Linked DNA regions of Struthio camelus. The protein of the gene in region 1 interacts with the protein of each later gene in a biochemical or structural test. Links are inferred from orthologs where the notes say so. Each region holds a gene or a part of one and is shown on either strand. Other genes may lie near its edges.

Region 1 (6,659 bases):
TTGTTAAAGGCATTAGTTTAATAAAAAGCAGCCAGTCACAGTTCAGACTATTACAGCATGGGGCAATATCATGCAATGGCATTTGACCCTTCTCCAACCTGCTTAACTTTAAATCAGGTCTCTAAACTGGGCCACTAGAATATGGCAAACAGTTTAATCAAGTTAAGACTCTGAACTGCAACATAATGAAGATTCAAAAGGTTATATTCCTTTAAGGATCAGGATGTTTTTTCTCCCTCTACTCCTCACACATTCTCCAGGGCATGCCTGTAGTTGTATATTACAAGTTTAACGTAATCCCTACCTTTTGAGGTCAGAATAAAGGGTATTTTCCTGACTCAGGTACTGGCAAAAAAAGTGGGAGGGGGAAATGCATTTTAATTATTTTATTTTCTTAAATATAATAGAACCTTCTAGATTTTTTTCCAGAAACAGAAACATTAAAAAATTATACTTTATTACAAACAGTAAACTCAGAGTGCTAAAAAAAGGAAGAAAAAAAAGCCTCTTATTTACAAACAATACTGGGCAGTGCCCAAATAAACAACATAAAAATAACTTACAAAGTCATGAAGTAGTTTATTGACATTAATCAACTTTCATAAAATAAAATAAAAAAAGATATGTACATACACAATTTACTTGAAGGCAGGCAGAATGGTTCTTTTTTTGTTGTTGTTGATCAGCCTCCCACAAACCTCCCTCCCACTGTGTTTTTTTTTTTTTCTCTTAAGGAATACTACAGAAAGCAATCTACAGTTTCTATTGCAGTTTAACCTTTAATACTGAATGATCATCGAATGTTAGGTCCATGCAGGTCTTGGTCAATGTTAAACGAAGATCTGACGTCTCATCTGAGCAGGAACAGCACTTCTTGGAGCGGTGCTGACTGCTTCACTACTAACTCAAGCTGAAGGCTTGCCAGTCTTTCCACACATGCGCTTTGCGGAGCACAGGCAGGACTCAACCTTTCAGCTTTTACCATTAGCTTTATGTATCTGCCACTTTTGGTTTTCTGTTTAGTTCTACCACGGTATCATAGTTCTTATTCAAGTCAGTCTCTTCAAAAAGTTTGCAACTGTTGTGTTAGCATTAGTTGGCACCCGCTGTTGACGTGGTTCATGACCTTCTGCTTTAGCTGTGCAACCTGTTCTCTGAGCATGTTGGCAGTGGATGCCAGCTCTGAGTTCTGGGCTTTCAAAGTTTTCACTTTTTCTTCCAACCTGGCAATCCTTTCCAACTTCCTTTTCCGGCATTTGGATGCTGCAATTCTGTTTCTCATACGTTTTCTCTCAGCTTTGATTCTCTCCTGTGACTCCATGTCAATAGGGGACAGGGGAGGTGTTTCCCCTGGCATTTCAGGTACAGTCTGAGGTTCTTCTTTCAAAGCCTGAAGCCTGGGATGCTGCACTGGCATCTGGGGGTTTATGTGATGTTGAGGTGCATAGCCCATGCTGTTTGTATTGTAGTTAGGTGCAGAGTTGAGTGCGTTGGGGTTGAAGTTGCTGAGATTGGCATACACTGGAGGCTCACTGTGCAAATTAGTATTGAAACTATTATTGCCAGCCATAGAAGACACAGGTGCCATGCCACTGTTAACAGGTTGAGCAGCAGAGGTAACACTGGGCATGGTGTTCTGGTTGTGCAGTTCGGCTAGAGCTCTCACAAAGCCTTCCGCAAACCCCTCTTGCTCGTCAGTAACGTTTTTGGGGCAGAGGAACTGCGTTGGGGTCGGAGTGGTGGTGATTAACCCGTTGCTGGACTGGATGATGAGCCTTTCCAGTTCAGGCGACGCCAGTTTGAGGAGCCCGACATCGGGGGAGGTGAGGATATCTGCGTTCTTGTTCCTCAGGTGAGGCTTGAGGTTGCTGGAAGGATCGGATAGGTTCAGAGTCATGTTCTGCTTCAGCACTTTGGGATTATTATATCCATACCCGCCGCTTTCCGGCGGCACGAAAGTAGCGTTTAGGGCATCCTCGTAGAAAGTAGGTTCCATCTTTGCAGTCATAGAACACAGTCCGCGGAGTTGTACCAAAGTTGCGATCAGCGGAGAGAAGCTGCTCGGCCGGCGCCGGCGCTCGCGTCCCGCTCAGAGGAAGTTGGCGTTAGCGCAGCTGCCTCGGGCTCCGCGGCCCGGCCACGCGCGGCTCGGGGCAGCGGGCGCAGCCCGGCTCGCCGCCGCTTCTCGCCGGGGCGCGGGCGGGCTGGTGCCCCCTCCCGCCGCCGCTGCCGCCGCGCAGGGAGCCCGCCTGGCCCCGCGGGGCTGGGGAGGGACGGAACAGTGCCGCGGGGCGCCTCGCTCGCCGCCGCCGCCGGGACGGGACGGGACGCGCCGCGCCGCCGCCACAAGTTGCCACAAGTACTTCCCCGGCCGCGGAAGCCGCCGTCCCCGGCGCAGGAGCTCCCTCGCCTTTCGCCGCTCGCTCCCCTCGGCGGAGCCGCTGCCGGCCGTGCTCTGTGCTGTGCCGTGCCGTACCCGGCTCCGCGCTGGCGCCGCGCTGCCGCCCGCCCCGCGCGCTCTGAGCCCTGTCCCGGCGTGGAGCCTTCACTTATCAGCGACTGGGAACCCGCTAAAAATAGCCCATGATGTCACCCCGCGGGCTCCCCATTGGCTGCCGCCGCATCTCCCGGGGGAGGCGGGCCGCTGGCCCGGCCTGTTGCATATCAACCGGTCTCCATAGCCACCCCGCCCCTAGAAGCTTCTCAGCGCCGGCGCGGGGCCTTGTGGGATGAGGTAATGCTGGCGGCGGCTCGGGGCATTGTGGGCTGACGTATTGTTTTGAATATCTGGTTACCCGCTCCCAGAGCTCGCGCCGGGTTGGACGGCGGCGGGCGGGGCGGGGGCGCCTCCTTAACGGTCAGGTACCAACCGCGGGCCGGAGGGGGGTGGCGGCGGGCAGGTACCGACTTACCCGCCGCGCCGGAGCCGCCGCTGTTAAACCGCCGTTTGTTCCCCCCCTCCCCCCCCGCTTTTTAGACTTGTGTTTTGTTTCGGCGGCGGGGTGAGGGCGGGCCGCCGCTCTGCCCTGCGCCGGCGGGGCCCCTGGCCGTGGCCGCGCCCTCCCCCGCCGGGTGGTACGGCCCTTAAGGTGGCGCTCCCGGTGCTCCGCGGCGGCGGGGGGGAGAACCCTCACGTGATTTCCCCTGCTGCCCGCCGTCCCCTCGCCCGGGCGGCTTCCAGGCAGGGCTGGGGGCGGCGCCCGGGCCGAGGCGGCTGCGCGCGCGGGGCCGCGGAGGGCACAAACCGCCGCGGGGCGGCCCCCGCCCACGCGCCTGCGGCGCTCCCCGCCGCCCACGCGGCCCAGCGCCTCGGCCCGCCCTGCCGGCGCGGAGGGGCGCCCCGGGGCCGCGCCGTCGCCTCCTCCGCGGCCTCGCCTCCTCCGCGGCCTCGCCTCCGGGCCGGGCCCCGCGAGCCGCCGCCGCCGCCGGGGGGAGGGCGGCCGCCGAGGGACTCCGGGAGCGGCTCGGCCGCCCGCGTCACGGGGCGGGGGGCCCCTGCGGCCCGGGAACGGCCCCTTGGCGGTCGGAGGGGTGTCCGCCGGGCCGGGCCGGCCCCCCGGCCTGCCCCCGTGCCCTGGCCCTGCCCGCCACTAGCCCTACGACGCGGTTACGCGCGTTTTGTCTAATAGCTCGTGATGGCCGCGGGGGAGAGGTGGGGATGCAAGTAAGGGCGCGATTGCCATTATCTTAGTCGGTGGCGTCAATTCCTGGGCTCAGGACTTGCCGGAAAGATAGAGGGGGCAAAACAAAACCAAACGAAAAAGACAAGGAAAAAACCTAGTTCCAGATGGGCTTCTCTGAACTCATCCTCCGAGGGGAGGGGACAACGACAGCCTAATTTTAGAGTGTCCTAATATTACTGTGGAAGTACAGGTTGGTTGGGGGGGGGGGAGTTGAAGGGCCCTAAGCAAGGAGCGTCAAGTCTGTGCTGACATGCTCTTTCTAGAGCAACAGCTGGCTAATACCTAGTTTATCGTAGCTAGTCTTATGAGAGACTTGCATGTATTAGTTTAGTGTATCTCTCTAATAAAAGGGTGTGCCTTACTGCCTGAATTCATTTCCTGACCTTCCCCCTCCTCACCCTGCCGCACACCCTCTTCTCTTCGGGTGGTGTGAATTTGTAAAAGCTGACATGCAGCCACCTCTGGGATAAAGTGCAGCTGCTATTTAAGGATGGACAGTGACAATACAGGGTAGGACAGGGACTGAAGAGGTGTACAGTATCATGTGAGTGGTGCAGCAGTTCCTTACACTTGTAAAAGAAGTTTTCTGTTGCAGGGTGGTCTGCAGAATTGAATCACTTTTTATAGTATGTAAAGCCAACAAACTTATGTCTAGGTTTGAAAATACACTTTCAAATTCTTCTGTCCTATTTTTTTTTTCCCCTAGACGTAATGACATAATTACCAGTTACAGTATAGGAAACAATAATGAAACAAACAGAAGCAAAAGCAGCTGTGAAATAAAAGTGAACATATAACTCCACTGTTCTTAAGTTATTGCTGTTTATTTTTCTTTGCTGTTTTCCCCCTAGTGTTCCCACCTGATTTCAGTCAGTATATACATTTGACCACATGGTCAGCACTGTTGTTACTTTGTAAGCTGATTGGCTTTATGCAAATACCAGTTGCAGTTCTTAGTACGTTTGTGTTAACAATCCATAGTATAAATTACAAAGTTTGCCCTTGAATTAGTGGCCTTCTGTATGCTGTTGGTATACATGCTATCTTCACGTAGGCAACATGTCTGCGTGGCAGGTTGCGCAGAACAACTCGACTACCACTGTAGTTTCAGCTGCATACTGTTTTGCAAAACAGCATGAATTACTGCATATGCATAAGAAAATCTCTTAAATTCATTAATGCAGCTCTTTAGCTCCTTTTTAATCTTTATGTATAGGATAAATGGAGGCCAGTCGCTGACTCTTCTGACCCAGTAGCCAAGGGGCATCAAATCAAAGGTAGTAGGCAGGTAGTAGGTTCAGAACAAATCAGCAAAATTTTTCCACAGAATGCGTCGTTAAGCTGTGGAGCTCCTTGGCATGCTAAAGGTTTTCGTTGCTTTAAAAGTGATTAGATGAATTTGCAGAAGAAAAATCCCTTAAGGGCTCTTGAATGCAATACGTCTCTGGTTCTGGAAACCCCAAAGCTGCAAATGACTTGTGTCTGTGAGAGCATCCTGAGGCAAAACTGCTGTGTGCTTTCCCTGGTTTTATATGCTTCTTTAGGTATCCGTTGCTGGCCACTGTGAAGAGATAGGGTATCTAGTTGGACCTGATATGGCTGTCCTTACGTTCTTGCTGCTTTAAAACTCCCCCCCGAGATATACTGTAAATGATCTCTCTGTGTTGTGTCAGTGTACAATTTGGATGTTTATAAAGGGCTTGTCTGTGCAAGGAAGAAATTCTGGAGAAAGGTAAGACAGGAATTTTAAGTAGTTTGTTGTGTGGCAGTTTTTTATTATGGAATAAGAATAATTTTTAAATTAAGCTGAAAAGTTTTTTTTTTTTTTTTTTCCCCCTGGTTTCTGTTACATAGGAAACCTGTGCAAATCATTTGCTTTGGTCAGTTTTTGGCATAGGCAAATAATCCTAATTAAGTTCATTCCAGTGAATTGTTGACATATTTAATTTGTCAGAGTTCTGTCTATTCAGTTTGTGTTTTTGTTTTTTTCTGTAAGTCTATTTTGTCCTAGAAAGCCAAGTCCAGACTACAAATCTGGAGTGTGGTCACTGTAGCTTTAACTGCTCTGTTTAATAAATTTGTGTGTAATCTGAAAAACTACTCCCTTATGGTTGGTCCAGTTCAGCCCCCCCCCAGTATCAATGCAAGGTTTTCATTAGCTTCAGTGAGTGTTGGATTGGGATGGAGATATTCACTTAAGTCATTTAATTTCTTTTTCTTTTTTTCCCCCACCCGTTTTAGTTTCCGACTGCCTTCCTTTTACAAAGGTGGAGTTTCAGGACTAGACGTTCCAGTTTGCTAGGGACATGTTGCTGCTGAGGCCTGTAGCTATGCGGGACGCTCATCAGTCCACTCATTATGTTAATTGCTACTCACTTAGGGGTTGTTTGGTCCAGGCTGGCAATAGGCACTCAAGTTGGTCATAAAGGTTGTGCGTAGCAGGAGGCTCTGGAATTGAAGACAGATTTTCATTGCTGCTTGTTCTGAGGGGATTTTCCACCTCTTTGAGTCTAATGTGGGAACGATTGGTGACCAGGTGCTTGGCTGAAGACAGAAGTCTCATCTTAGATTTCGGCTAAGTGCCAACTTTACCATTTGAGATTCTCCCAGTGCCACAGATCACAAAACAGAAGTAGGCCCCGTGAGTATGGAGGCAGTGATCCTTCGTGGCCATCAGCCAAGGAGCTGGGAATTTTGGTGACTAGGCTCCTAATTTATTAAACAGCTATTACTTTAGGGCTTTTCCCCCCTTTCCTGATGTCCTTAAGTAAATATTCCCTTAGTCGTATGAAAGAACACTTACCTGACCCATTTATAAACCATAGCCATTTACATGTCTCAATAAACTAACTTGTGGGTAGGGCCTGGAAATTAACTGTATATGTCTGCTGATGTGAGAGGCAGATGCTTTGACCAGCAGTAATATAGATTTTGATTTATAAAGTTCTCTAATCAATCAATACAAGACTGACTGAG
Region 2 (7,533 bases), on another chromosome or scaffold:
CCCAGGCTGGCATCTCACTTAGAGGGTCACACGAGGGTACCAGGCTTGGGACAGCCGCACAGTAGGATCTGGGTGCTTTTCTCCATCCCAACAGACCAAGGAGGTTCCCCTTCCGCAGGCTTAGGTGGGAAGGGCAAGAAGCAAGGGCAAGCCGGCAAGAAGGGGCAACGCTCGCAACCCCATCGAAACAGTTCTGTCTGCGAGAACCTGGATGAAGCCTTCAAAAACTGTCCACCTCCAACGCAACCACCCTCCGTGGGCTGCCGCGCTGGCAGCTCGCTGGCCCAAAGCTGCTTAGTGATAGTCATTTTATTTTTGCATCAAGTAATAATTTATCATCTTCGAGGGGGTGGGGAAAATAGCTCGTGGAAATGACATTCTTCCGCAAGGTTTTAACCCGCGAAGTGCTGGCATTTTCCAGGCTGCCTGCCAATATAATTCCCAGGAGAAAAACCAGTGTTTGTAGATGTGCTGGTACATTAAAAACTCATTCAGTTCATCAAACCCTGGCATCAACTTTAAAATAAAAGGAGCATCCCTAATGCAGGGATACGAGCAGTACGAAAGAGCATGCTTCACTTGCTGCAGCGAAGGCTGTTTGCAACACATGCTTTTTAACAGATTGGCCACCGGCTGTCTCCATTTCCCATCACGGGAATTCACATTTAGTGTGATTTCAAAAGTTTGCAGCAAGCGCACAGATAATACCTAATCTACCGAAGGGAAGCCAGGAAGAACGGTAAATAATGATGCGATGGCAAACACAGCAAGAGCCCTTCTGCACCCTCCGCAAATACTCCAAGGGATGAAATGACTTGGCTAAGGTCACACAGAGAAAGCGAGGGAGAGAGGTCGAGTACCGGAGCCTCTAAGCCGCTATCTTAAACGACCCGGCAGCGACTGCCGTTGGATCAGCGGTGCTTTGAGGAGGTTGTCCACACCGTTTCTGGGGACGGCGTGGCCAGGGGCGGCAGGGAGGGGGCTGCCGGTCCGCACATCGCTTTCCGCTTTAACGCCGTGCCCCTTTTCTCAGCCGCTGCCAGCGCTGAAGCAGATTTGACGGTGCCTTAAGGGCCTTCCACCTTCCCAGAGAGACAGCAGCAGGATGGTTAAGGTTTGGACCAGGCAGATATGTGCATGCACACACAAGCCCTCGATCCCTGAGCTTGGGAGTAAACCCGACTTAGACTTTGCCTTTACCCAACTCATTAGTCGGTGGGGAAAAAAAAAAATACTAGCCATCGCTATTTTATCATTAAGCTTAAAGTAATGCCACCACCACCAGCACCGTCAAGTCTATAGCAAACCGACACCTGGAGGTCATGCCAAGGACGCAGGTTTAGGTGAGACACTAAACCAGAGCGGCCGTTGCCATTAAATCACGCCGCTCTCTGGGATCATAACAGCTATTTGCAATAGCAGGAAGACGTGAACGGGAGGGAGGGGGTAATTAGGTCATCTGCTATTTCACTCACGTATTTCCCTCCGTGAAGGCACAGGCTTAAAACACAACACCACGCACCAGCTCCTCAAGCAGGGCAAAGCAGCGGGGCTGGGGGGAAGAGCCGGACCCGCTTCTCGCTAGGCGGTGAAAGATCCCCTGCCCCAGGGCAGCCCGCGCATCCCTCTCGCGTAAAGCACAACCCAGCCCAGGGCAAGCCAGGGCTTTCCTGCGGATGCAAGGCCCGGCTTTACTTTCGTGTTTCGCTACAGGTTTCCTGCAGGGCAGGTGATGCCGGCGCGCCGATGCACAGGGGCACGCAGACGGACGCAGGCGCTGGACGCGCAGCGCGCTTCCATCACAATCCAAGCCGCCGGACGCGCGTCGCCGCTCCCTGCTGCCCCAGGTGAAAATGTCCGGGTAGCCCAAAATATCCCGGCTTGCGGGAAAATTGTTTACGTGACGTTCGGGGGCAAGATAAAAACCCGGCCGAGTTAGAGGCAGCGCCAGCGGTCTGTAACCAGGAAACCGCGCTGGAGCCAGCCCACAGCCCCCAGAGGTGTCAGTTGACAGCACTGGATGGGAAGTCGATGGTAACTGCAATACCAAACGAGTGGCCACATGCAAAGCGATAATTTAGAGACTAATAGGGACGTGGAAGGCCTTGACCGTGCTTCGCGGGCGCTCACAGCTCCTCCTGGCTTTTTCGGCTGGGTGAGAGAAGCAGGATCGTGCCCTTCCCGGGCAGCGGCAGCGGCGTATCCGCAAACCCCTGCGGCTGCCGCCCGTCGGGGCTCCCAGCTCCGGCTGCTCCCAAAAGCAAACGCTGGCGCTCGTGGCATTTTCTGCCCTTCGGAGGATACCGTCGCTCTTAAAAACGAAGGGAGGTGCAGCAAGCAGTCGGCCAAAGGCAGAAAGCAGCCCCAGCGGCCGGGGCTGAAAGGCAGCCCGTGCACGGGGAGCGAGCATCTGGCCCTGGGCACCTCGCTTCTCCCCCGGCCGAACCAGCCAGCATCCCAAAAGCAGCAACGCAAAACATACAATGAACTGCAAACTCAACCGACGGCGATAACGCCAAGAAGCAGCAGCCTTCTAGCCCGAGGTGAGGAAAACCATAATGTTCCCCTGAGCATGCACACAAACTTCAGATGCTCTATATACAAAAGGGATTTTTTGGGGGGGCGGGGAGGGGGGGAGGTGGGGGGGGGGGGAAACGCAGCAGCTCAGCTATTTACAAAATCCCGCCGCGCTGCCAGCAAACACGCGAATCGATCGCTGCGTGCAGCTCCCCATGGGGAGAGGAAAAAGTAAATCATCGGCAAAACAAATCGGAGGTGTCCTCAAAAACGAGCGCAGGTACCTGCAGCCCACGCGCGAGTTCAGAAAGAGCCTCTCCCCGCCGTCACTTACTACTTCTCGGAAAGACCCGGGGAGGAGGCGGGGGGGGGGGGAAAGGTTACGTCCTCCACCACGGCTGGCCACACTTGCCTCCGATCTCTTCCCAACTACCTGGTGCTGTCCTCCGCGCCGGAGCTGGAGAGGATGGGAATGCCATAGCGTGCGCGGCAGGGCCGCCTATTCAAAGGCAGGGGGAGTGGTCAGCCCCGCATGCAGGGCGGTGGGAAAGGCGAGCTCCCACGCCGCCGCCGAAAGCCACCTCTGCGGATGGCACGCCGGACCCTGCCGGTCCAGGCGGGGGGACCCCCGCCCCCCCACCCCGCTCCCCGGAGGCTAGCTGGGCCAGCGGCCTCGGCCCCGCTCCTGCCGCGGATATTGCCGCACGGCGAGCGCCAGCCGGTTGGGCCCCGCACAGTCCTCGGGAGGTGGGAATTAGTCTTTCCGTGGAAGTGTGAAAAGAAAAGAAAAAAAAGGGGGGGGGGGGAAAAAAAAGGCAAAAGGCACGGCGAGCACAGCCAGGGCGAGGTTTAGCCGGCGACCTGACGCCTCAACGCCGGCTCCGCCGCTGCCGCTCCCTGGAGGTGCCTGACCCCAGAAACCGCGGTTTCTTCCTAAAAAGCCCTCTGGGCACCTCTGAGCGTCCCGCTCGCGTGCTCTGCTGGCTGCAGGGGGGCTTTTCGGTGCCTCCCTCGCCCCCGCGCCGTCGGGGAGCCGTGGTGGCCGCTGGCTTTCTCCCCAAAGCAGGGAGGCTGCGGCGATCGCCCCCTTACTTAAAGGCAGCATCTCGGAGCGAGCGCTGGGAGCTGCTGGCTCCGTCCCCTCCTCTGACCGCGGCGGCCGGTCCCCGCTCACAGCGTCCCCCTTGGTGCGGGGGCCGGCGGCGGCGGGGGTCTCCGGCGAGGCCGTGCCGGAGACGGACGGCCAGAGCGGTCCCCACCGGGCCCGCCGGCGGGCAAAGGGACAGGGGCCGGAGGAGCAGGTTGCGTGCCGAGGATGTCAGTGTAAAGTCGCTACCGGGCTCTGGGGGAGCAGGGCCTGGGGTTCGCCCCTGCCAGCGCCGGCGGCCTTGCCCGGCCCCAGGCAAGGCCGCCGGCGCCTCCAGCCCCAGCGCTGCTCCCCCCAGCCTGGGCACGGGAGGAAGCGCCCGTCTCGCCTCCCTCGCTCTCCCCGCCGGCGAGGCTGCCTTTTCCTCCAGGAGAGGGCTCCAGGCTGAAAATGCGCTCCGGCTCGAGCCGGAGATCCGAGTCACGACGGCGGCGTGAGCGGCGGGGCTGCCTGAGCATCCGGGAGCAGCCCCCGGGAGCAGAGGTGAAGCGCCGGGGGGCCCCAGCCCCGCTCACGACCCGCCGCCCGGCCGGCACGCAGCAGCCGGCGTTTCGCCGTGAGCTCTGAGACCCAGAAAGCCCAAGCGAGGAGGTGGATTTTCCCCCCACCCCGGGTTGGCTGCAAGCGCTGAGCAGCTCCCTGCTCCGCTCCGGATGCGCCCGGTCCTACGGAGCCCAGCGGCTCTCTCCGGGCTCTCGCTGTCCCCTCGGTGCCGGCAGCCCGAACACCGAGGCTCACCCCCGTCCTGCGCCGAGGCAACAAGTCCGCTTACGGAGAGAACGGCAGGCTTGGAGCAGCCGCTCTGGTTTCCCCTGGAAACCCTAATAGTGAACTTGAATACACCAGTGACAGTGGGGACACAGCCGCGGGGTTCAGCCCTTCTTACCCAGACGGAGTGACACGGTGATGCTCTGCTCGCCTGAACGTGCGCAGAAGCGGCCGGTTGGCAGGAAAGTTTGCAGCATCTTCTCCGTACAAAAATGCAGCCTGTACATCTACGTATTGTCACCGGAAATCCAGGCTGAGGCGTTGGTCAGTCTAGGGGCAGAAGTAACTCCTGGGGACCTCCTGGCCCGCTCCAAACGCTGGACGCTCCCAGCCAAGCAGACGATTGCAAAGCGCAGACCAAAACAGCATTTGCAGAAGCTATTAAGTGAATAATTCCTGCCAGCACCGGCTCCTAGTGCATCCACTGCTGCCAAATGCTTCCTAGAGAAATTAAATATGCAAAACTGTAGCGCTCACAGGCGTAAAGGACTCTCCAGTTCTTCGCCTCCCAGCCCAGGAGACACTGATTGCTCAGATGCGTATAGTGACAGATACAGAACCAGTATTTACGCGCATAAAACTATTAACAGGGACTTTGAGGATTTTCTCAAGCTCCTAAGCGCAAAGCGAATTTCCATTTTAGCCCTTGCCTTAGCTGGGAAACACATGGCGACAGGTGGCATGAATACACGTTACCTGTTGAACTTGCAGCCATAAGGCGCAGATCCCGCTTGTAGCTGTTTTAACTCAGGAAATTATTTGCAGGGTTCCATCTTCTCGGGAAGGTTTCCAGCCTTCTGGGCTTCGGCACAAAGGCTCGGTCACGTCTGAGAGCCAAAGGAAGAGAATTCATCCAACAATCAATTTTTATCTGGGCAACTCTTCCCCAAGGCTGCAGGATAACCCTGCTGGCAGCTGCAAACAAGATGTCTTTCCCAGGGCTGGAGGGTTTGCTCTGGAGCAGACGGTTCTTCAGATGCACTATCCTATATATTAATAGCCGCTGTATACGGCTGTCCAATTGACCGTGCCTCTGCAAAATGGAGAGGCTTCTGGTTTGGCTGTTCTTGACGACACGGCACGGTGTCTGCTGGGCACGGATCGCCTCGCTCGTCTGGGGCAGGGCTTGCACGTGGACGCCTGATTTCAGGGTGGCCGCTGCCACATCGGTCACCTAAGCCAGTTGCCTCAGCTGGCAACAAAAACGTAGCTTTAATTGAGGGTGGTTTGTGGAAGTTGTCATGCAACTGTTGTGCAGAAAGAAGGACTTTCAGTTCCAGATGGCTTGAGTTTTCATTGCACTTGTAAAAAAAAAAATAAAATGATCCCTGAATGCTTAATCAAAGCAGTTATTAATGTTTCTGCCAAATCTGAAATGTGTCATGAATGTTTTCACGGGCTGCGCGCTCGTTGGCTGTTTGTATTTCAGTGGCACATAGTGAGCTCGAATGACATCCTGGCCCTCCTGGAAGGTGCTGGACATATACGTTAGCAGAAGCAGCACCTTTTCCGGTGAGTTAAGGCGTCTTTATCTCCATTTGGCAGGTAGAGGGATGGACGGAGAATGAGAGTAGCATCATGCTGAAGAAGGCTACAACTGGGGAGGATCACAGTCTGTATCGCAGAGCTGGGCAACGATCACCCGGGCAAAATCCACCTCAGCCAGAGTTACACTGACTGTCATCTGCCACAGTTCAGGCCCTGCAGGTCCCAGGTTGCTTTCCAGGGAAAGACCCTTCAGAGTGGTAATCCCCTTGAAGATTATAAGCCATTGAGGGTGATAAGATGAATGAAGACAGCGTCCACATCACTTTATGGACCTGTAAGTATCATCATTCCCGTATGACACTGGAAAAACAGAGCAGGAGCTGGTAAAGTCACCATGAGCACCTGATCCTGTCTCCTTTCGGCTGGTGCTACGTGGTGGCCCCAGTGCCAGGGAGTAAAGCATGGGGAAACCTGACTTGGAGGGTTGTAGCGATTCCCAGGCGCTACTTGCACTGTGAAAAGATGATACAGCCAGATCAAGGTGTACAAAAAGCTGTCGTTATTTGAGCGCGTGGAAGTGGTCACCATTGAAGGTGAGCAAATTTGGCCTCCTTGCTGCCTGGATTCAACGCATCAGCAGCCATGGGAAGCAAACGGATCCAGAAAGTGAGCAGAGTCCAAAAATAAACCTCCCAATGCTTGTAAATGTTACGGCAGGTTCACCCCGGCCGCAGCAGCATTCCCTCCTGACCCTCCTCAAAATGAAGACGATGGTGCATCGCGTGTGCCACAGATGCTTCAGCAGTGGCCCATGAAGAGCCGCGCACATCTGGCCGCCAGCTGCGGAGGCTTTCCGTCGCTGGCTAGCCTCGAAAGCAAACGGGAGTCGCCACCGGAGCTCGCCCCTTCTGGCCCAGCAGGCAGAGAAAGGGACGGAGACCTGATTAATAATTACCCCCGTTGCCTCCTGGTGCAGGACCCGAGGACAGCCACAAGCCCCGTCCGAGTCAAGGGGAAACGTGTCCCCTAGAGCCACGGGATGGGGTTTTGCCAGTCCTGGGTCAGGCAGGAGCTCAGACCCCCAGTCTCGGGTACATGCAATGGGCACAGGATATAAGCTAAAAAGAAAGGCGATTCTGGGGACATCCTGAACGCTAAAACTGGTCCACACATGACTGCTGTGAGGCTATATTAGGTTAGAAGCTGCTACAGTTAAATCTCCTTCATGTGGCCTGAGTTAACTGCTATAAACTTGCTCATACGTGGTTTATCTTGCTTCACTAAGGGGCACAAGAACTGTGCAGCAAGCGGCTTTAAATAACCTCGGGGTCTGAAGATGTGAGAACGGTTCGGGTGTGACAGGATGGGTGGAAAAATCCCTTCGTTCTACTTTGAGCACTGATTTTTAATACAGCCTCCCTCTCTACATATGATTATAAATATATATATATATATTTATTTTTTTATATTTATATACACATATACATGATAAAACCAAAAATAGCACTAACTCCCGTCAAAATTTTCATTCTGGAAGAGGAAGTGAGAAATTTCCACTCAGCTCTAAGTATGATGTTAAGCAACATCTCTAAGGAAGTTCTAGCCATAACATT
Region 3 (7,610 bases), on another chromosome or scaffold:
CATTAGTGCAAAGAGTCAAATGACATATTAAACAAAAAGAGATGTTTAAAGAACATTTGTTTTAGCTTTAAATAATTACTTTATTTTTAATATAAAAATACACATTTACAAATAAAATACAAGCAAACCTCTGAAACAACATTACAAAAAACATAAGGGGAAGAAGGCACATGGGGTAGGACTATGTCATTTAATCACAGCCAGCAAATCATACAGCAAAATTGTTTCTCCAAGTGGCTATGCTACACGAAAGTCCATGTTCAAACCACTTGGCTCAAAAACTTTGCTTTAGAGAGTTCACGACACACTGAACCATTCATCTCAGGGTTCAGTTCTAAGCCTTAAAATGACTTTTCCCCTACAATAGTATCACTCTTTCTCTCTCTCCTGCATTTACTTGCCATTTATAAGCTCCAGTGCCTCATCTTTGGTCCGCGTGATCTTTTCCTGCCTCCACGATGAGGGTCTTCTGGACTGGTTGTGTTTCACCAAGAGATGTGAACATCGCACTTTGGTGGGCTCCCCTTGGCCATTCTTTCCGCTGCCGCTGGGACGTTCCCACTGGCTGGCATTTGTGATGTGGTTGAAGTAATAAACGCGGCCTGCAGACAGAAAGAGAGCGTCAGGGTTATAAAAAGCTCCTGTCAGACCCCTAGAACTAGCTTCTTTCAAGGCCCACTAGACAGATAAGACCAGATTTCTGCAAGTAGGTGAGACTGTGGTCGGCCGTGTTCAGATTATCAATGCCAGCGCAGTAAAAACATGGTATCGCACACAGTAGTTTATAGCTCTGTATACATCATTTCCTACACAAATGGAAACACGAGTTTAGTCAAAGCAACAGCTCTGCGCAGAAGCAGACTCCAGCAGCTCTTCCAATTTAGGGCAAGTCATGAAGCTCCCATAGATCAGGGCCAAAAGCACCCACTGCTCCAGTCAGAACAACAAACGTTCCCACACAACACCCTGCCGCTGCGGCCAGGGTTAGACCACAAGTTCGCCTATGTGAAGTGTTGATTATTCTTAAGAAAGCAAGGAGCGCAGTCAGCTCCCAGTCACGCGATGGCAACACATCCTCTAAGGAGGCACGCGGTAACACGGTGGAACCCTGCCCTTTTGCCCCTGCGCAGCTAGGGATCGGTGCTAGGTCTCTGGTGTGCGGATATAAGGTTGTATTTCACTCTAGCACTATCTGCAATGGTGAAACAAGGTAAAGCCTCTCGGTTAAGTGCATCATTTAGCACAGGCTGCAGCAAATGCAATAAATTACCCTTACCAAAGGTCCTGTCTTTGTATTGCTCAGAAAAGCCCAATTCCAAAATCACTTTTTGTTTCTACCAGAAAACAAGACCTCCCCACACAAAACGCTCATGCCTTCCCCCTCATAGCAGAAAGTAAAGTTCTGATTAAATCATCTATGAAAACACCACGTTCAGCACTAAAACAAAGCCAGTTAATACTGTCATCCAGTGACAGGGATGCACCACTTGCTTAAAGGCCTTCCAGTGTTGGCTCAGAGCTACATGTTCATTTATCTGCAATAATTCACAACTGTAATCAAGATGATTTCCAACTTCTATTGCAGCATTCATCTTAAAGCATTCCAGTGAAACCAGAGCCACAGAAGACTCACAAAAAAAGCCCATTCTGCCAGGAAATCGAGGGAGGGGGAATGCAACAGCAGTGGTTAACTTACTATGCAGTAGGAAGTCATGCTGTAGTGACAAAGGGCCCAATTCCCCGGTTGCAATCCCAACCAGTGCCATACAGTCATCCGTGTTTCTCCCTCCAGGAGGCCACTAACAACCCAGACTTGACAACTCCACACAATCACAAAGCTCCCTATCGCCAGGGCACTTCAACCATCGCAGTTTTAACAAAGAAGGCGTCACACAGACACCTCTTCCCTTTCCACGCTTTGCCTCCCTGGACTCATCTCCCCCACAGTCAAGCATGAGAACACAGCATCCTAAAAACTGCTTTTGAGCCATTAGGTCCCATAACATGGAAAGCTCTAACTAGAAAGGACAAAAACTCTGCTGAAAACGCCATCCTGACCAAGGACTTCTGCTCTCGAGCTACAAAGTCACAGCAGCCACACTGAAGGCAAGACATCCTGCATGTTCCGATGGGGGCTCTCAGACAAGGGTCTCGCTGGGCTCAATCCCCCCATCCCCAGGCCTCCCCGCCAGTTACACAGGGACGGAGCAGCTGCCAGCACCACCCTCCCCCCAGGGGTGCAGGGCCAGCACATCCCTCACCCCAACCCAGCTCCCAGAAATCACGCTCCATCTCCCCTTGTAGATCAACATCCCACTGGACATAGGAGCTGCCCCTCACCCCCAAAAGCCCAAACCCTCCCCCCAGGTCAGGCACCATCTTAGTCAAAGCAGCCCCAGAGTCAGGCACCCTTCAGGACCCCCCCCCCAAAAGCCTGAACTTCAACCCCTCGAGAACCTCTCGAGACCCACCCCAAAGTCCAGCTCACAGCACCTGCCCCAGAGCCCCCATCTCTCAACCATCCCCCCCCACAGCCCAGACTACACCCTCAACACCCCCAAAATCCACCCCCCCCAACCAGGCCGCCTCAGACCCAATGACCAGGCCCTCAACACCCCCAAAATCCACCCCCCCCAACCAGGCCGCCTCAGACCCAATGACCAGGCCCTCAACACCCCCAAAATCCCCCCCGCCCGGCTACCCTCATAGCCCCCAACCAGCCCTCAACACCCCCAAAAACCCCGCCCCCCCCGGCCAGACCCCCCTCAGACACCCAGCCCCCCCCCGCCCCGGCCAGGCCCTCGCCACCCCCAAGGCCCCCCCGCCCCGCGGGGGCTCAGCGCCGCCGCTGCCGCCGCCCGTACCGGAGCTGCGGCTCATGCGCTTCTCCCAGCCCGCGGGCAGCTTCTCCTCCTCCGCCATCTTCCCTCGGCCGCGGCAGCTGCGCCTCCCGCACCGACCTCTCCCGGCCCGGCCCCCATTGGCGCGGGGGGCGGGCACGCCCCGTCCCCGCTCTGCTCCCATTGGCCCAGCCGTGGGCTACGTCCCTCCTTCGTGCGCGAGTCCTCAGCGCCATTGGCGGAAGCACGCACCATTCCGGCACTGATTGGCTGCGGGCGGGAGGCCGCATTGCTCCCGGAAGCGATCGCGGGGCACGTGACAGGAGGCCGGACGGCGGCCGCCGACGCACAAAAGATCCCAGAGCGCGCCCGCTTCCCCCCCCCCCCCCCCCGGCGCCCGCCCGCACCGGCCCCTCGAGCCGCAGCACGACAAGAGGGACACGTCGAGGGACATGTTTATTACAAACTAGCCAAAACACTCCCGAGAGGCTACAGCACATCTACTGCCTCCATGCACGAATGCGGGGCGCTCGGCGCGCTGGCCGCGCGAGGGGAACAGAGGGAAGGCATCAGCCAGGCCAGGCGGGGAGTGGGGACGGCGCGGCAGCCGCCGCTACTGGTAGTAGAGCTCCAGGTTCATGCCGTCGTGGATCTCATCTGAAGCAGCAAGTTAAGGTGGTTCTGGCGCAGGGCCCCCGACAAGCTTCCCCCAGCGCTAAGCTGCACCCCACGCTGCCTTTGGCTTGCTGTACAACGTCCCAAACCAAACAACACTTGTCAGGGACGTGCTCCACCCCCAGGGCTGCCAGCAGCGGGGAAGGAGGGCGAGCGCTGCATGCGCCCAGCCGCTTCCTCTCTGCTCACGCTGCCTGCTTGGGTTTGACGCGCGCGTTGTTCCAGCGTTCCGGCTGCGCGTCCGGTAAATGTTCTCGATCTCTTATTTAACTGGGAAGTTTCCCCAGAGAAACCTTACTGAGACTACCACAGCAAGAAGGATACAGTCTCCCAGCGTGACATGGTCCTTGAAGATCGTGTACCTGCAGTTATCGTGAAACGGAGATCAGTCTGGCACACGTGACCCCCCCACAGGTTAAAGCAAAGGAAGACGCCCTGGGAGCGGTGCAGCCTCAGCCTCCCCAACAGCCCTGCTCCCATCAGCCCCCTCATGGAGGGGCAGCAGCGGAGACCTAGCGTGGTTTTGAAGCCGCCCGTGACAGCCCGGCCAAGCAACGCTACCCCAAAACGGGCCGGGATTCCCCTCCCGGCTCCCCCAGCGCTAGGGCGCAGCCGGGGGCCGCTCGGCCGCACCCCAGCCCGGGCCAGGCGCCGAGGGGGCCGTTGGCCGAGGAGCGGCGGCCGCCGCCCGCCCCGCTCACCACTTCTTGAGCACGATCTTGTCCCAGCGGGTCCCAGTCTGCGCTGCGATCAGCTTCTTCAGGTCGCGGATGGAGTCCTCGGTGCTGGCGGCGCCGTTAAGGAAAGCGGGACCGGGAGGAGCCGCCGCCACCCCCCTCACCCGCCGCCCCCCGGCCCCAGCCCGGGGATACTTGCATTTCACCCGCACCTTCTTGCCCAGGCGGTCGTTGCAGACGACTTCGATCATCGTTCCTGAGGGAAGAGAGGCGCCGCCGGCAGCGGGGGCTGCGAGGGGGGGGCCGCGCAGAGGAGACCCGAGCAGGCCACTCCGCCGCCGCTGACGACTGCCCCGCCGGAAGCGGAAGTCGCCGCGCCGGAAGCGGAAGTCGCGGGTGCCCTCGCGCCCCGGAAGCGGAAGCGCGGCCGCCGGAAGCGGAAGCGGCCCGTTGCCATGGCGGAGGGGGCGCCGGGCGCCGGGCTGGCGGCGCTGCCCGACTCGGTGCTCCTGGAGGTCCTGGCGCTGCTGCCGCTGCGGGACCGGCTGCGCGCGGGCAGGTGCGGCCGGGCCGGGCCGGGGCCGGGTCTCGGTCCCGGTTCCGGCGGTGACCGGCCTCCTCTCTCCCCACAGGGTCTGTCGGCGGTGGCGGCGCCTGGGGCAGGACCGGGCGCTCTGGAGACACGTGGACCTGAGCGCGCACCGGGTGGGGGACCGGGGGCTGCAGCCGGGGGCTGGGGGCTGCCCGGGGCCGGGGGCTGCTCGGTAGGGACTAGGGGTTCCCGGGGACCGGGGTGGACCGGGGCTGCCCAGGGCCGGGGGCTGCTCTGTGGGGGCTGATGGGGGCCGGGGGCTGTACGGGGCCCGGGGCTGCCCGGTGGGGACGGGAGCTGCCCGGGGGCTGGGGGCTGCCCGGTGGGGGCTGGAGCCGGGGTCTGGGGGATGCTCGGTGGGGACTGGGGACTGCCAGGGACCGGGGGCTGCACAGGGCCGGGGGCCACCCGGTGGGGACCAGGGCCTGCCTGGTGAGGGCTGGGGTTGCCCAGCAGGGACTGGGGGCTGCCAGGGGCTGGAGGATGCCCGGTAGGGACTGGGGGCTGCCAGGGGCTGGAGGATGCCCGGTAGGGACTGGGGGCCACCGCGCGAGGCCTGACTCCCTTCTCGCTCAGGTCAGCTCCAGGACCCTGTGGCACCTGCTGCGGCGGCACCTGCGCGACGGCCTGCGGACACTGAAGGTGAAGGGCGCGCTGTGCTCGGCGAGGAAGCACGAGATCCTCTCTCCCGCGCTGCTGGCCGCCCTCGGGAGGCAGTGTCCCCGCCTGGGCCGGCTGTGCCTGGCCGAGGCCGACCTCCGCCCGCTCCCCTACCAGAGCATGCCTGCTTCCCTGAGGACGCTGGAGCTGAGTCACTGCGAAATCCCTGCTGCCTGGTTCCAGGGCCCTGCCGCGAGCGCCCTGCCCCAGCTGCAGCATCTCATCGTCCGGAACGTCCCTGCCTTTTGCGACCAGCATCTGCTAAACGTCTCCTCCCAGACTCATCTGAAGACGCTGACCCTGTCTGGGACCTACCGGGTAACAGACGCAGGGATTCAGAGAGCAGCGGTGTACTTGGGGGGGCTGGAGCGCCTTGTGCTGCGCCACTGCGTCATTACCGACTCCGCTGTTCGTTTCATTGGGCGCCATATGAAATGTCTCCGACTGCTGGAGATCAGCAATGCTTATTCCTTGACAAATGCAGGTTTGGCTTGCCTAGCGACCCTGAAGTGCCTGGAAACGCTCTGCCTTGACCTCTGTGATAAGTTCTCCCCTGATGCCATTGTTGCTTTGTGCCAAGCACTCCCCCAGCTGAGGAATCTCAATTTAGATGGGGCTCATTTTGAAGATGAGGCAATACATAAAATTCAGGCGAGTTTGCCTAACTGCAGCTTTTCACATACTCCTTGATACAGATTCTGAAGCAAGATGTTAACAGTTTAAAGTGGCAGGACGCTCGCCCTTCATCACCAAGCTTCAAATGTGCTTTTTTGGGTAATGATTTTTTTTTTCCTGGTAACAGTTGTATGCTCCCACTCAGGCTAAAACAGTGCTGTGAAAAGAGCCAATTTTCACATTGCAAAGTCATGTAAATAGCTTGGTGAGAACTTGCTTCTGGTGGGATCCCTCCATGGATCAGGCAAATTGGAAAGTCAGTGAATACGCAGCTGTTTACGTTTGGGAACCCCAGCAGTGAATTGACCAAGGGCTGACAGAGGTTTCAGAGAGTGAGCAAGCGAGTGAGCACACGTGTGTGTCCATATTTAACCTCTTCCTGTGCCCTGTTTCACCCCTGTGCTGAGCATCAGGCAGCAGTTCAACCAGCACAGAATTCAAGAGATGAAGTGAGATGCCCTACTGCCCCCCACCAAAAACAAACTACCAAAAAAAAAAAAAAAAGCTGCCCAAAACCTAGAACTCCAGTTAATATCTAACTTTGATTGCTCAACCACCCTGTGTGTACGTTCCTAACTATGCCTAGGAAGAAACACTTAAAAGGCTGCGCTTCAGACACGTGCTGCCAGAGTTGGTTTGTTCTCGGAACAGTTCGGGTGACCTGCTGCCCAGACACCGAGTGTTTTCATAGTTTGGGCTGTCTTCTTGCTTTTATCTTCCTGCCAAGTTTAGTCCTGAAAGTTATTTTTCAAAATGCAGAAAAGTTTGGTTGCAGATCTTCCTAATTGCTTGTTCCCAAAAGCATCACATTCCATTTGTGGAGAGAAAGGGCACCCATACGTGCTCCTGGGCATCAGAGGGGGCTGCTGTTACCTCTCCTTGTTTTGCTGGGCTGTGCTACCGCGAGCAGCCACATTGCCTTATTGTCTTGTATTGTTCACATACTGCTCTTACTCAAGATGTTGTAACAGCAGGGACGTGACAGAAAAAACTTACCTGACATTGCAACTGAAGCTTTGTGACATTGCTGTTCTGGACTGTTGGGTTACCCAAGGATGCTGTTTTTAATCAAATACTGTATTTATTAAATAAAAGTGTTTTTGACTGTTAGCCTTCCTCATGCTATTGGAATATTTTGACTGAACTGTCATAAGTGTCTTTGTTAGAATATGCAAGTCAGGCAACCTTTGTCACTGCACAGTCGGTGTGCTCAGGTGTTAACAGCTGAAGACCTGCTGCCCTGCGGTAAAGCAGAAGGGAAGAGTTGCACACGAATCAAAATGCAGTGATACAGACCCACTGGAAAGCTTGGCGCAGGACTGCAAGACTCCCTCAGGGAAACCCATGGATTTTGTCTTCCAGTTTGGTTGACCCTTTTGTCCTAGCAAAGCTTTTCCATTATTGAAGACACATGTGGAGTTAAAAAGCACTAAAACACAAGTCCTGAATCCTAGTCTCCTACCCAAGAGATTCTTTCATGCCATTTGCTTC

What was found. The genes of interacting proteins can lie anywhere in the genome.
Region 2: the proteins of JUN (region 1) and ETS1 form a complex in vitro, tested with the Homo sapiens proteins (2 studies listed by BioGRID). The link is inferred for Struthio camelus from reciprocal best matches to the Homo sapiens genes JUN and ETS1.
Region 3: the proteins of JUN (region 1) and PIN1 form a complex in vitro, tested with the Homo sapiens proteins (2 studies listed by BioGRID). The link is inferred for Struthio camelus from reciprocal best matches to the Homo sapiens genes JUN and PIN1.

What each region holds. Positions count from the first base shown.
Region 1 is NC_090949.1:34,117,697-34,124,355, forward strand, and holds JUN (transcription factor Jun), read right to left. Parts: upstream 2,518-6,659; 5' UTR 2,009-2,517; coding exon 1,064-2,008; 3' UTR 556-1,063; downstream 1-555. UniProt on the Homo sapiens protein: Transcription factor that recognizes and binds to the AP-1 consensus motif 5'-TGA[GC]TCA-3'.
Region 2 is NC_090963.1:7,815,929-7,823,461, reverse strand, and holds the start of ETS1 (protein C-ets-1), read right to left. Parts: upstream 3,024-7,533; 5' UTR 2,997-3,023; coding exon 2,930-2,996; intron 1,711-2,929; exon of another isoform or gene 1,476-1,710; intron 1-1,475. UniProt on the Homo sapiens protein: Transcription factor. Directly controls the expression of cytokine and chemokine genes in a wide variety of different cellular contexts. May control the differentiation, survival and proliferation of lymphoid cells.
Region 3 is NC_090972.1:5,062,709-5,070,318, forward strand, and holds the start of PIN1 (peptidyl-prolyl cis-trans isomerase NIMA-interacting 1), read right to left. Parts: upstream 3,024-7,610; 5' UTR 2,923-3,023; coding exon 2,865-2,922; intron 603-2,864; coding exon 402-602; intron 1-401. Other genes in the region: FBXL12 (F-box/LRR-repeat protein 12), read left to right, coding at 4,648-4,707, 4,825-4,956, 5,361-6,134. UniProt on the Homo sapiens protein: Peptidyl-prolyl cis/trans isomerase (PPIase) that binds to and isomerizes specific phosphorylated Ser/Thr-Pro (pSer/Thr-Pro) motifs.